Sus scrofa: one gene and its partner. The protein of the gene in region 1 interacts with the protein of each later gene in a pairwise test. Links are inferred from orthologs where the notes say so. Each region holds a gene or a part of one and is shown in the gene's direction. Other genes may lie near its edges.

What was found. The genes of interacting proteins can lie anywhere in the genome.
Region 2: the proteins of ZFYVE19 (region 1) and VPS4B interact in binary tests that used the Homo sapiens proteins (3 or more experiments, as listed by UniProt). The two-hybrid records come from large-scale screens. The link is inferred for Sus scrofa from reciprocal best matches to the Homo sapiens genes ZFYVE19 and VPS4B.

Annotation. Positions count from the first base shown.
Region 1 is NC_010443.5:130,511,034-130,516,133, reverse strand, and holds part of ZFYVE19 (abscission/NoCut checkpoint regulator), read left to right. Parts: intron 1-964; coding exon 965-1,086; intron 1,087-1,255; coding exon 1,256-1,309; intron 1,310-1,969; coding exon 1,970-2,088; intron 2,089-2,171; coding exon 2,172-2,317; intron 2,318-2,650; coding exon 2,651-2,759; intron 2,760-3,388; coding exon 3,389-3,598; intron 3,599-4,013; coding exon 4,014-4,093; intron 4,094-4,406; coding exon 4,407-4,505; intron 4,506-4,610; coding exon 4,611-4,738; intron 4,739-4,819; coding exon 4,820-4,898; 3' UTR 4,899-5,100. UniProt on the Homo sapiens protein: Key regulator of abscission step in cytokinesis: part of the cytokinesis checkpoint, a process required to delay abscission to prevent both premature resolution of intercellular chromosome bridges and accumulation of DNA damage.
Region 2 is NC_010443.5:158,266,369-158,272,605, forward strand, and holds part of VPS4B (vacuolar protein sorting-associated protein 4B), read left to right. Parts: intron 1-1,017; coding exon 1,018-1,158; intron 1,159-2,819; coding exon 2,820-2,921; 3' UTR 2,922-6,237.

The DNA of each region.
Region 1 (5,100 bases):
GGGTTCAGCTGTTTCCTTCTCTCTAGCCTACCCATCTGAAGCCTGGACTTTAGTTAATGCTCTGTGACTGACCTCTCCATCACACCATGCCCGTTTTTTTTCTCTGCTCTGAAACCTTCACCATCAAGCAGCCTTCCCTGCTTTCTTGAGTTAGATTACCACCTTATCTTCTGCCCCCAGGGCACCATGGCAGAATCTCACTTGTCCTCAGCACTGACCTGTCAAGTTCCTCTGGTAAACTGCAGGCTTTCTCTGCCTCCATTGCGACCAGATAGGATGAATGAATAGCAGGTGGTGAAGTAGATCCGTGTGGCCCTCAGAAACCTGGGTTTTGGAGTCAAAGTGATCAGAATTCAAATTTGAGCTCTGCTGTCATTCATGGGGTGAACTTGCTTTGGACAAGTCATGTAACTTTGCTGATCCCTTCCTATTATCCCAATAGAATAAGAATGGTGATCATCAGGATTAAGTAAGATAGTGTGTGTAAATTGTCAGAATTAAATTATGTGATGAACGTTGAGTACTGAGCTTAGAGCCTGGCACACAATAGGTGCTTAATAATGGAGGCTTTTGTTACCATCCCATCCTAGTCAAGCCGCCCTCCATCTCTGCTAGAGCAGAGAAGGCATGGACTCTGCACTTTATTGCTCCTTTGCTGAAGAGTCAGTGACCTGAAGCATGGTCTTTTGCCTGTTTGTCTTCTGCACCCCAATGTCAGGGAATTAGAGGAGAAAGCATGAGAATTTTGCATGAAGCTTTACCTGATTTGAATGGAAGACTGGAGACTGAGGAATTGCTTTACCCTCCACCCCTGTCTCTCCCCAGGCCTTAGGGGCCCCACTCCTCTCCTCTCAGCAGCTGGTTACAGTTTCAGTGCCTGTTCTGTGTGTGTGTTCAGAGAGTTCCAGGGAGGAGCCTGCAGGGGGGAGTGAGAGGTGGACCCCCTGCTTCATGTTTCTTGTAGTACGGCTGTAAGAACTGTGGCCGGGCGTTCTGTTCCGGCTGCCTTAGCTTCAGTGCAGTGGTGCCCCGGGCTGGAAACACGCAACAGAAAGTCTGCAAGCAGTGCCATGAGGTCCTGACCAGGTGAGAAACCAACACAGGTGAGGGTTCAGCCAAGCATGGAAGCAGGCAGCTGGCAAGGCCTTGCAGCCTCATGCTCCGTGTCTAGAGGTCAGCCCAGGAAGTGTTTGGGGTGGGGGGCACTGATAGGCAGATGGCAGGTGGCTTCTGACACCAGATTTCTTCTCTATAGAGGATCTTCTCCTGCCAATGCCTCCAAGTGGTCACCACCTCAGAACTATAAGAAGTAAGTGCTAAAGGGACAGAGACAAATGGGGGTGGGGAAAGGACAAGGGAGCTCTAGGGTAGGACTCTCTTCTCAGCCTCTAGATCAAATGAGCACAGGGTCAGGAAAATATGTATCTCTCAGGCTCCTGACTGCCCTTTTGGGTGCAGAAAGCAGCTCCTCAGTCCTTTCTCCACAAAACGTTCCTAATAGACCTCGCCTTCTCAGCTAGACCCTCCTGCTCATTGGCTGGGTTAGGGTGCAGGGTGCCATGAGCGAGGGCCACAGAAGAATGTCCACTGAAGGCCTCCTTATCTGCCTAGAAATGATTTGAGTGGGAAGCAGTGAGTGGGTGCCTTCCTGCCTCCCTTCTGCATTCTTCAAGAGGCTCTATCTTGGAGTTCCCATTGTGCCTCAGCAGTAATGAACCCAACCAGTATCCATGAGGACTCGGGTTTGATCCCTGGCCTTGCTCAGTGGGTTAAGGATCCAGCGTTGCCGTGAGCTGTGGTATAGGTCACAGTCATGGCTTGGATCCCGTGTGGCTGTGGCTGTGGCTGTGGTCGGCATCTGTAGCTCTGATTTGACCCCTAGCCTGGGGACTTCCATATGCCAAAGGTGCAGCCCTAAAAAGAAAAAAAGAAAAAAAAAAAAAAGAGCCTTTATCTCATATCCTGCCAGGCGTGTGGCAGCCTTGGAAGCCAAGCAGAAGCCCAGCACTCCCCAGAGCCATGGACTGACCCAGCAAGACCAAGTCATTGCTGAGCGCCTAGCACGGCTCCGCCGGGAGAACAAGCCCAGTGAGTAGGGGACAGACATCATCCGGGGCTCCTGGGACTCGTATTCCTCTGGATCTTACAAGGCTCCCCTATGCTAATTGCAGAGTCAGTGCCCTCTCAGGCAGAGATAGAAGCGAGGCTAGCTGCACTGAGGGATGAACCCCAGGGTTCCATCCCTGCCACCCGGGAGATGGAAGCACGGCTTGCTGCACTGCAGGATAGAGTTCCATCTTCTCAGACCCCTCAGTGGGTGAGTGCTGTGGCTTTGGAGGATAGAGATCCTGCAACAGGACCCAGCAGAAGCCCTGATGCAAGTATATTATATATTTTGCAGGAGTACCTTGTGCTCCTCAGGCCTGCTGCCAGGCCAGGGAACCAGGGATGAGCAGCAGGATTGCACAGAGCACAATCCTGTCTTGCTGGGGACTGCCAGACCTACTTGATTACATGGCCTCTGGATTAGTCCCCTTACCCTGAGCTTTGCGAATTACTCAGCATCCACCCCTGACCCAAACTGCTTTGAACTTTATGGTGTGGCTTTTCCCCTACCCTGCTCCCCACTAAGTCTCCCTCTTCTGAGCAGACACATCAGCCACCAGACACTAGGACCCAGGCCCAGCAGGCACAGGATCTGCTGACACAGTTAGCAGCGGAGGTGGCTATTGATGAGCACCGGGAACGAGGAAGCCCAGGTATTTTCTCCACCCGGCTCCCCCAGGGACCTGCCCCTCACTCTCCTCAGGTTGGGGGAGGCTCTGCTGCCCACCCTCTGGGAGATGAATATAAATCAGAGCATAGGAGATCCTGTTGTGGCTCAGCAGGTTAAGAACCTGACTAGTATCCGTGAGGGTAGCAAAGGTGGGACTTGAACTCAAAGCTGTCTGCTTTCAAACCTCTTGCTCTGAAACTCTGAGCTAAAGGGGACCATGTCAGAACCACACCCACTCATAAAATTCTTACCATCTAGTGACATACAAGGCCTCAGCTTCCTTCATGTCATTTCTGATTCCAACCAGTAAGGGAGAGAGACTGGCTGGACCTTGGCCTCCCCAATCCTGCTCCTTTCAGGCAGTGATTCTCATTACCATGGGGCAACCCACCCTAAGGGCAGGATGTTAAAATATCATGTGGGTGAAAATAGGTGTAATTTTTTTTTACTGTCTAAGATGACTGGTTTTTTACATTTGGGAAAATGGAGGAAATACTCATGTGCAATATAGACCACAGGAGCTACTGCTAAACAAAAAGCTGATGACCTATGGGCTCAGTGGTTTTGATGGGAGATCTTGAAATGTCTGCCCACCTGCTTCACTCTTTCCAGCTGCCTCTACCCAGAATGACCTCAACCAGGGGGGCCCAAGGGCCCAGAGTGCCAGTTCTGAGGGGCAAGCCACCGGGTCCCTGGAGGAGGAGAAGAGCAGGCTTCTGGCTGAGGCAGCAGTCGAACTTCGGGAGGAGAACACAAGGCAGGAGCGGATCTTGGCCCTTGCCAAGCGCCTGGCTGTGCTTCGAGGAGAGGACCCAGATAAAGGTAGAGGCTGGGGAGTGGCTCACTCTTGTCCAGTGGGCAGGCCCTCAACTCCCACCCCCAGGCCAAGCTCTGCCCAGTGGCTGCTGTACTCCCTGCCAGACTGGGTCAGGGGCTGGGGGGCCCTGTGCTCAGGAGTCTGTCGAGCTTTGTCCAGAGCCATGAAGAAGGTGCTGAGGCGATGCAGTGGATGAGGAACAAGTGGCAGCTATCAGGGGGCAGGGGACCCTGGGTCCCTTCAGGTGCAGATCCCCAGCCTGGCAGTGTGGCACAGGGTCTGACCAGAGTGACTGCAGAGGCTACTCAGCTCTGGAACAGATGCCACTGGAAACCAGATTACTGGGGGCAGGAGCACAGCCACTCAGGTGAGCTCTCAGCCTCATTCCTCCTCCCCTGCTCCCGTCTCACCCTCTTCAAGTGACCCTCCAGGACTATCACCTTCCGGACAGTGATGATGAAGAGGATGAGGAGACAGCCATCCAGAGAGTCCTGCGGCAGGTTGGCCCCACCTTATCCCCCTGACCACCCTCGTCCTGTTCCTGCCCCACTGCTCCAGCACCCACCTGGCCCCATTCACCCCGCCTCTTCTCTGGGGTTCAATGGGCAGTCACTCTGCAGTGCCTGTTCTAGCTGGGACTGCTCTGCCCCTCTGACCCAGCCCCGCCCCCCCTAGCCCCTTGAGGTGGAGTGTCAGCAGCCATAGGCAGCAGATGAAGGAAGGTGGGCTGAGAGCTAAGCCACAGAACACAAAAATACTGGGTGTTGGGGGCATGCCTGAGCAGGGAGCTGTACCTCTTCACTCTGTCCACAGCTCACTGAAGAAGCTGCCCTGGATGAGGCAAGTGGCTTTAACATCCCTGCAGAGCCAAATCTCCAACCCCAAGCCCAATCCAGCAGGGTAGAGCCTAAGGTGAGAAAAGCTCCAGACACAAACCCCCCCAGGCCACCATCACAGCTTCCCCTCCCCGGACCCCATCAGGTACCTTACATCCTCCATTCCTCTCTGGTCCCAAAGGCCCAGGCCATGGCCCCCAGGCCTGAGGCTGAGGAAGAGGAGCTCCCCTGGTGCTGTATCTGTAATGAGGATGCCACGCTGCGCTGTGCTGGCTGTGATGGAGACCTCTATTGTGTTCGCTGCTTCCGGTAGGTACAGGTGGAATTCCTGTGGGGCCAGGAATGTTCCAAGGCCTCCTTTGACCCCTGACCTGTATCTCTGCTCCACAGGGAAGGCCACGATGCTTTTGAACTTAAAGAGCACCAGACATCTGCCTACCACCCCTTGCACAAAGGGCGAGAGCACTGAGGGAACCCTGGTCCTCCCGGGAAGGCCATCCTACAGGCAGTCACACAGGCCGGGGCACCCACCAGCGCATCTGATGGGAGAGCACATCAGGCTAGACTGCTTACCGGGAGTTCCCTGGTGGCTCAGCAGGTGAAGGATCCAGTGTTTTCACTGCTGTGGCTTGGGTCACTACTGTGCTGTGGGTTTGATCCCTGGTCCTGGA
Region 2 (6,237 bases), about 28 Mb from region 1:
GATACAAATCTGTTGTCATTTAAATATTACATGTGACTCTAGTCACAGAATTTCTTTTTCTGGATGTTATTAAAACTTTTTTAGGGGTTGCCATTGTAGCTCAGCAGGTTAAGAACCTGGCTAGTATCCATGAAGATGCAGATTCCATCCCTGGCCTCCCTCAGTGGGATAAAAGATACAGCATTGCCAGAGGCTGCGGTGTAGGTCGCAGATGCAGCTCTGAAGACATTGCTGCAGCTCTGATTCAACCCCTAGCCTGGGAACTTCCATATGCTGCAGGTGTGGCCCTAAAAAAAAAAAAGACAAAAAATAAAAAATTTTAAAAAACGGTTATTTTAAATTAGTTATGAATCATAAAACAGCACTGAAATTACATTTAACATTTAATTTATTTTGTACTTATATTTGAAGAAGGAGTTTTTGTTGGGAAAGACAGAAATAATAAACCTTCCAAAATCTCAAACTTTCAAAATTCCTCAGTTATCAAAAATAGAGTTATTAAGAGAATTTGGGGGTGGTTTATTTTTGGTCTCTACAATTATTACCACTTAGTAAGTATTAGAGGGAAAAAAAAGCTTTAGTTGCGGGTAACTGATTTTAATTTATTTTCTCCCTAGGATCATATAAGTAATTTATTGTAGGGAATTTCAGATATAGAAAAGCATCAAGAAAAAAGCCAAGCAAAATCTATCCCATCACCCAGAGATAATTATATTTTTGTCGTATATCCTTCTGTTTATTTTCAGAAGTAAACATTTGTAACAAAACGTAAAATAATACTACATTGAAAGTTTCTCCGTGACACAATGGGTTAAGGATCTGGTGTTGCCACAGCAAGGTGTAGGTCACAGATGCGGTACAGCTTCATTCCCTGGCCTGGGAATTTTCATATGCTTTGGATGCAGCCCCCCCCCCCCCAAAAAAATAGTGCATATCCAGATTTCCTGATCATGGTCTAAATTTTAACATTTACTTAATTTGTTAAAAATAAGTATTTCGTATTGCTGTTTTTTCCAGGTTCGTGGACCTTCACGAGCTGATCCTAACCACATAGTAGATGATCTGCTAACACCCTGTTCTCCAGGTGACCCTGGTGCCATTGAAATGACATGGATGGATATCCCTGGGGATAAACTTTTGGAGCCAGTTGTTTGCATGGTTTGTCATTTTGATTTAAGAAAAATTTTAGGAGTTCCCATCGTGGCGCAGTGGTTAACGAATCCGACTAGGAACCATGAGGTTGCGGGTTCGGTCCCTGCCCTTGCTCAGTGGGTTAAGGACCCGGCGTTGCCGTGAGCTGTGGTGTAGGTTGCAGACGCGGCTCGGATCCCGCGTTGCTGTGGCTCTGGCGTAGGCTGGTGGCTACAGCTCCGATTCAACCCCTAGCCTGGGAACCTCCATATGCCGCGGGAGCGGCCCAAGAAATAGCAGAAAGACAAAAAAAAAAAAAAAAAAAAAAAAAAAAAGAAAAATTTTAAAACGTATTTTATAATTTGTCAGACAGATAAAATTTTCTGTTATGTAAAATCAGCTAGAAGATGTTAATATGATCAGGCATGGAGTTCCCGTCGTGGCAGAGTGGAAACGAACCCGACTAGGAACCATGAGATTGCGGATTCAATCCCTGGCCTTGTTCAGTGGGTTAAGGATCCGGCATTGCCATGAGCTGTGGTGTAGGTCACAGATACGGCGCGGATCCTGAGTTGCTCTTGCTGTGGTGTAGGCCAGAGGCTACAGCTCCAATTGGACCCCTAGCCTGGGAACCTCCATGTGTCAAGAGTGCAGCCCTAAAAAGCAAAAAAAAAAAAAGAAAAGAAAAATGATCAGACATGTTTATTTAATACTAACTGCTTAAAAAGTTGTGAAGATTAATGTGAATGTAAATATGAATTTGAGAAATTAAAATATTCATAAAAATTACATTTATATAATTTCTATTGGAGGAATTAAAATAATTCATGAGACTATTATTTTGTAAGGTGTATCAATTTTAAGGAATGTTTATTATGCTTATGTTTTCTTATTGATGAACACTCAGTTTTTAAAATCTTCTGCTTTATAGATTTTCAAATCTGTATATCAAAATTAATAGTAACTTCCAAAGGGGAAGCTTTCACAGGATATGTAGACCATGTAGATCTAAGTATATAGACATGTATGTGTATATGTATGTATATAAGTTTGTGTGTAGTAATATATCCATAAACATAGATATATTTATGTGTTAATTTACCACAATACTTACCTGAAAAATTATCCAGAAATCCTTTTTTGTTTCAGTCCTTGATTTATTGTTTTAAAGTTTTGTTTTGTTTTGTTTTCCATTTGCCATACTATTTTTTTTATAGGAGAAATGGCCTAGAAGTTAATTTTTAAATGAATCCTTGACATTAGTATGTTTTCTTACCATTTTAATTGTAATTTTAATAGTTAACATTTTTGATTAGTTAGTTTTGATTATGGGATTATTTTGTTTCATATACGTATAAGTGAATGACTATATTCCTTCTGAGTTGTACTTGGACAGCTGCCCTCTTGTTTAAGAAAAAACAGATATGGCCAAAAAAGTGATCAGGGACTTACTGTGGAGGCCTTGATCCTCAGGGTAAGAGGACTGTACTTTCTTTAGGGCACTGAGGAGCCTTTGAAGGTTGTGATGAGAGCAAAGGAATAACATAGTTAAAGATGTTCTTTAGGAGAGCAAGAGTTTATCATCAGTAGCTTATGGCACATCACAGATATCCTTAGGTGAAAGTTAGTGATGCAGTGTTTATTTGATAAATCTATTACTAATCTTCCCCACTTCTTTTTCCTGACAGTCGGATATGCTCCGGTCACTATCAAGCACAAAACCCACAGTCAATGAACACGACTTGTTGAAATTAAAGAAGTTTACGGAAGATTTTGGCCAAGAAGGCTAAACCAAAGACCGCAAGGAAGAAATTTACCATGTGTGTTTCTTTCTTTCATGGGTATTTTTGCCCTTCTTGGATGGCGTTCAGATTTTTTCCTGTAAAACTCTTTTACCACAGGGAAATAGAGATCTTACTTCAGAGTTCCTTTAAGGTTTATATATACTTTTGCTCCATTATCAGTTAAATTCTCCTGTTAACAAAAATTATAAAATAACGGGTTATAAGAAAATGAGTAGTAACTAAAAAAAAGAAGAGTGAGTGATACATAAAAAGCAAAAAGAAAAAGAAAAAGAAATTACCCAGTAAAAAGATTTAAAATTGAGATGCAAATATTTTAAATTGTTATGAATAGTGGTCTTTGCAAAGAGCATTCATTTTTTTTAAACTAAAATGAAATGAGGCTTATTTCATATTTTGAAAAAAATCTTAAGCATCCTTCTCATCAATGTAAAATTAACTTTATTAAAAAGTTAAAAATGATTTACTCTCAGGGATGGTCAGTAAAACAGCAAAGAGCACTGTGATTGGGCTCGAAAGATTTTAAATTGCGTTCTTCCCACGGCTTTTATTGATTTTTGATAGATTGGTGTTTTTCTCCATGTAGATTTAAGTTTCTATAAAAGCAGCAGGCTTTTTTATACTTAACTAAATAATACCTTTCACTGTGCAGTCTCAAGAGAAAGACTCTCTAGACATTGTCTTTATCTTGAAGAAGAAAATTGTCTACTTCAGTGTCTTTTTGTAGCAAGAGTGACCAAAACAGGTGGTTAATAAATACGTACTTTTAAAATAACTCTGTCGTGAAATACTGTAATGGGAACCTTTGCTAAAAGGAACAAGCTCCCTTTGGATTATGGGAAGTTACTTGTGTGTGATTGGGGTGGGGGGGCGGGTGTACATATATATATATAATTTTTTTTTAAATATCGAATAGCTAGCATCTTGTCTTTTACCTTTTAAGGTCAGGGAACATCTTGCCCTGGACACACATACATTATCAATGTAATGTTTCATAAAGCTTTAGAAATGAGCTGATGTCTCCTTAAATAATAAACTACAAACATGACATTGTTATTTTAATATCTTCAAGTAAATAATCTGAGGGTGTGTGTTATACACGTTAGCACCAACACTAAGTTGTGCCTTGTACATTTGCATTGGCTGTACATGCAAAGGATTATTAAGTCAACTAGATAAGGTAGATTCCTTAATTTACCATAAAGTTCTGCCTTGTTGATGCTATAGGATAACTTGCATTTTAAAGTATATTTGCACATTTTACATATGATGCTCTATAGTTGCCTTTGGGTTTTCTGTACAGTTGGTGTTTGTTGATATTAAATGGAAATCATAGACCTGAAATACACTGTTCTACGTGAAGTAAATTGATATAACCTACTGTTGGCTATATTCTGTGTATGCTTCTTTATTTTGGGATCTTCTCTGCAGGAGAAAATATTATCTAAACTGATTAGATACAAATAAATCACTAAAAATCAAGAATATATACATGAAAATTCTGATTTTCAGCAACCTTTATGTGAGAATTGGGAATTAACTTGGCAGATCAACACCAAATCCTTTGTGGATGTCTTAAATTTTATATATTTTTATTTTATCAGCCTCAGAATCATGCAGTATTGCTATTAATCCTATCATTAGGAGAATTAACATAATTACATTATAATTATATAGTGGTTGAAATCCAGAATTTTTCAAGAATCCAAAATTTGTTTTGAGGAAGTATTTTACTTAAATTGACCAAATAGTGTGTAAGTGCTGTGCTGATGATAAGTGTATGCTTTATCACACTAAATTCTTACATGTGCTCTGAGAACTATGCCTCAGTGTCCATATCACTTCTAGCCATAGCTTCATTTTCTACATTTCTGGTTTTAAAACTGTTTCTGGTATCTAGTGATTTTAGACTTATTCTAGAATGGTAAAGCATGGGCCATTTCCATGTGCCCTTTCTGGGCAGAGAAATACTCCAAGGAAAATGAACGTTCAGGCTCTGTCTGTCTGGACCCCGACCATTATGATTTGGGGGTAAATGTTTTCTGAGCCAGCAAGTAAACCCTACTTGAACATCTCTATAAGGTATGCCCTGGAAGTTTCAGAAAATTTTTGGTCCTAGTATGAAAACTATAGAGACCTTAATTATAAAGTATTTTAGTAGAAAATTTTGGCTTTGAGTGTACTGTCATCAACATGCAGAAAGATGGAATGAGTGTATTTGATTATGAATATGAAGTGCCATTTAGCCACTTGCACGTGCATAGGTAGGAAGTGGTGAAACACCTCCCTTACGCATTGTCAGGAGCACTGCAGATGGAGTGCCCAGCTTTGTGAGCTCTCACAGGGGCTGTGGGTTTCCTCTCTCCTTTCTTCTTTCCTCTGCTAGTCGAGATCCCATTATTTGCATTAAGACCTAGCTCATGACCCATATAGTCTCTTCCAGGAAGAATTCCTAAACTGTCCCCATCCTGCCTTTGCATTTCTTTAGCACTAAGTTACTATGACTCTCTTAAGATTCTCCAGGTTTCAAGCATGTTCTGTTAATTTTGTTTAGATTGTTTAGATTGTGAGCTCTTCAAACAGTTACATTTCCCTTTGCATTAGCATAGTGCTAGATGCTGTTTATTAGGTACTTAATAAAGACTTGAAAAATTAAGGGAATTATATCCATATTTTATCCACTTCCTAGATTATCTGTAAAACTTTTTATAAAATAGATAATTTGATTTGTTCTGGTTAGTCTAGCAAAGTTGTGGTAAGTTTCAGTCTTGGTTATTGGGAACTAAAATCAGAGGTGTGCCAGAGCTCACTCATACTGGCTCAAAAGAACCAGTATGAGTGAGTTTTACATATTTGTACCCACCTGTTCAGTCACCTCGTTGGCTTGCAATCTGCCATGTTGGGAGAGATTTACGCCACAGAAACTAGCAAGTTTCTATTTAGTTTACATGGTGCAGTGCAAAGCAAGGGCTGTCTGTAGTTTTAAATTGGAAAAGTAATATTATTTACCACATTTACAGAAGTAAAGGAGAAAAGTTATTGCAGAGTCATAAAAAGCATTTAATAAAATCTAGCACCCATTTGTAATTTTCCTTTTTAACTTGACAAACCAGGAATTGAAGGGAGCTTCTTAATTTAATAAAGAGCATTTTCCCAAAAAACTCTAGCAAATATCATACCAATTGTAAATTATTGAAAACCTGACTTCCCAGAGATGAGGAAAAAGACAAAGGTGCCTGCTGTCACCACCCCTTTTCAAGGTTTTGTGAAGGAAATTCTAGCCAGTGTAAGAAAAATAAAAGTT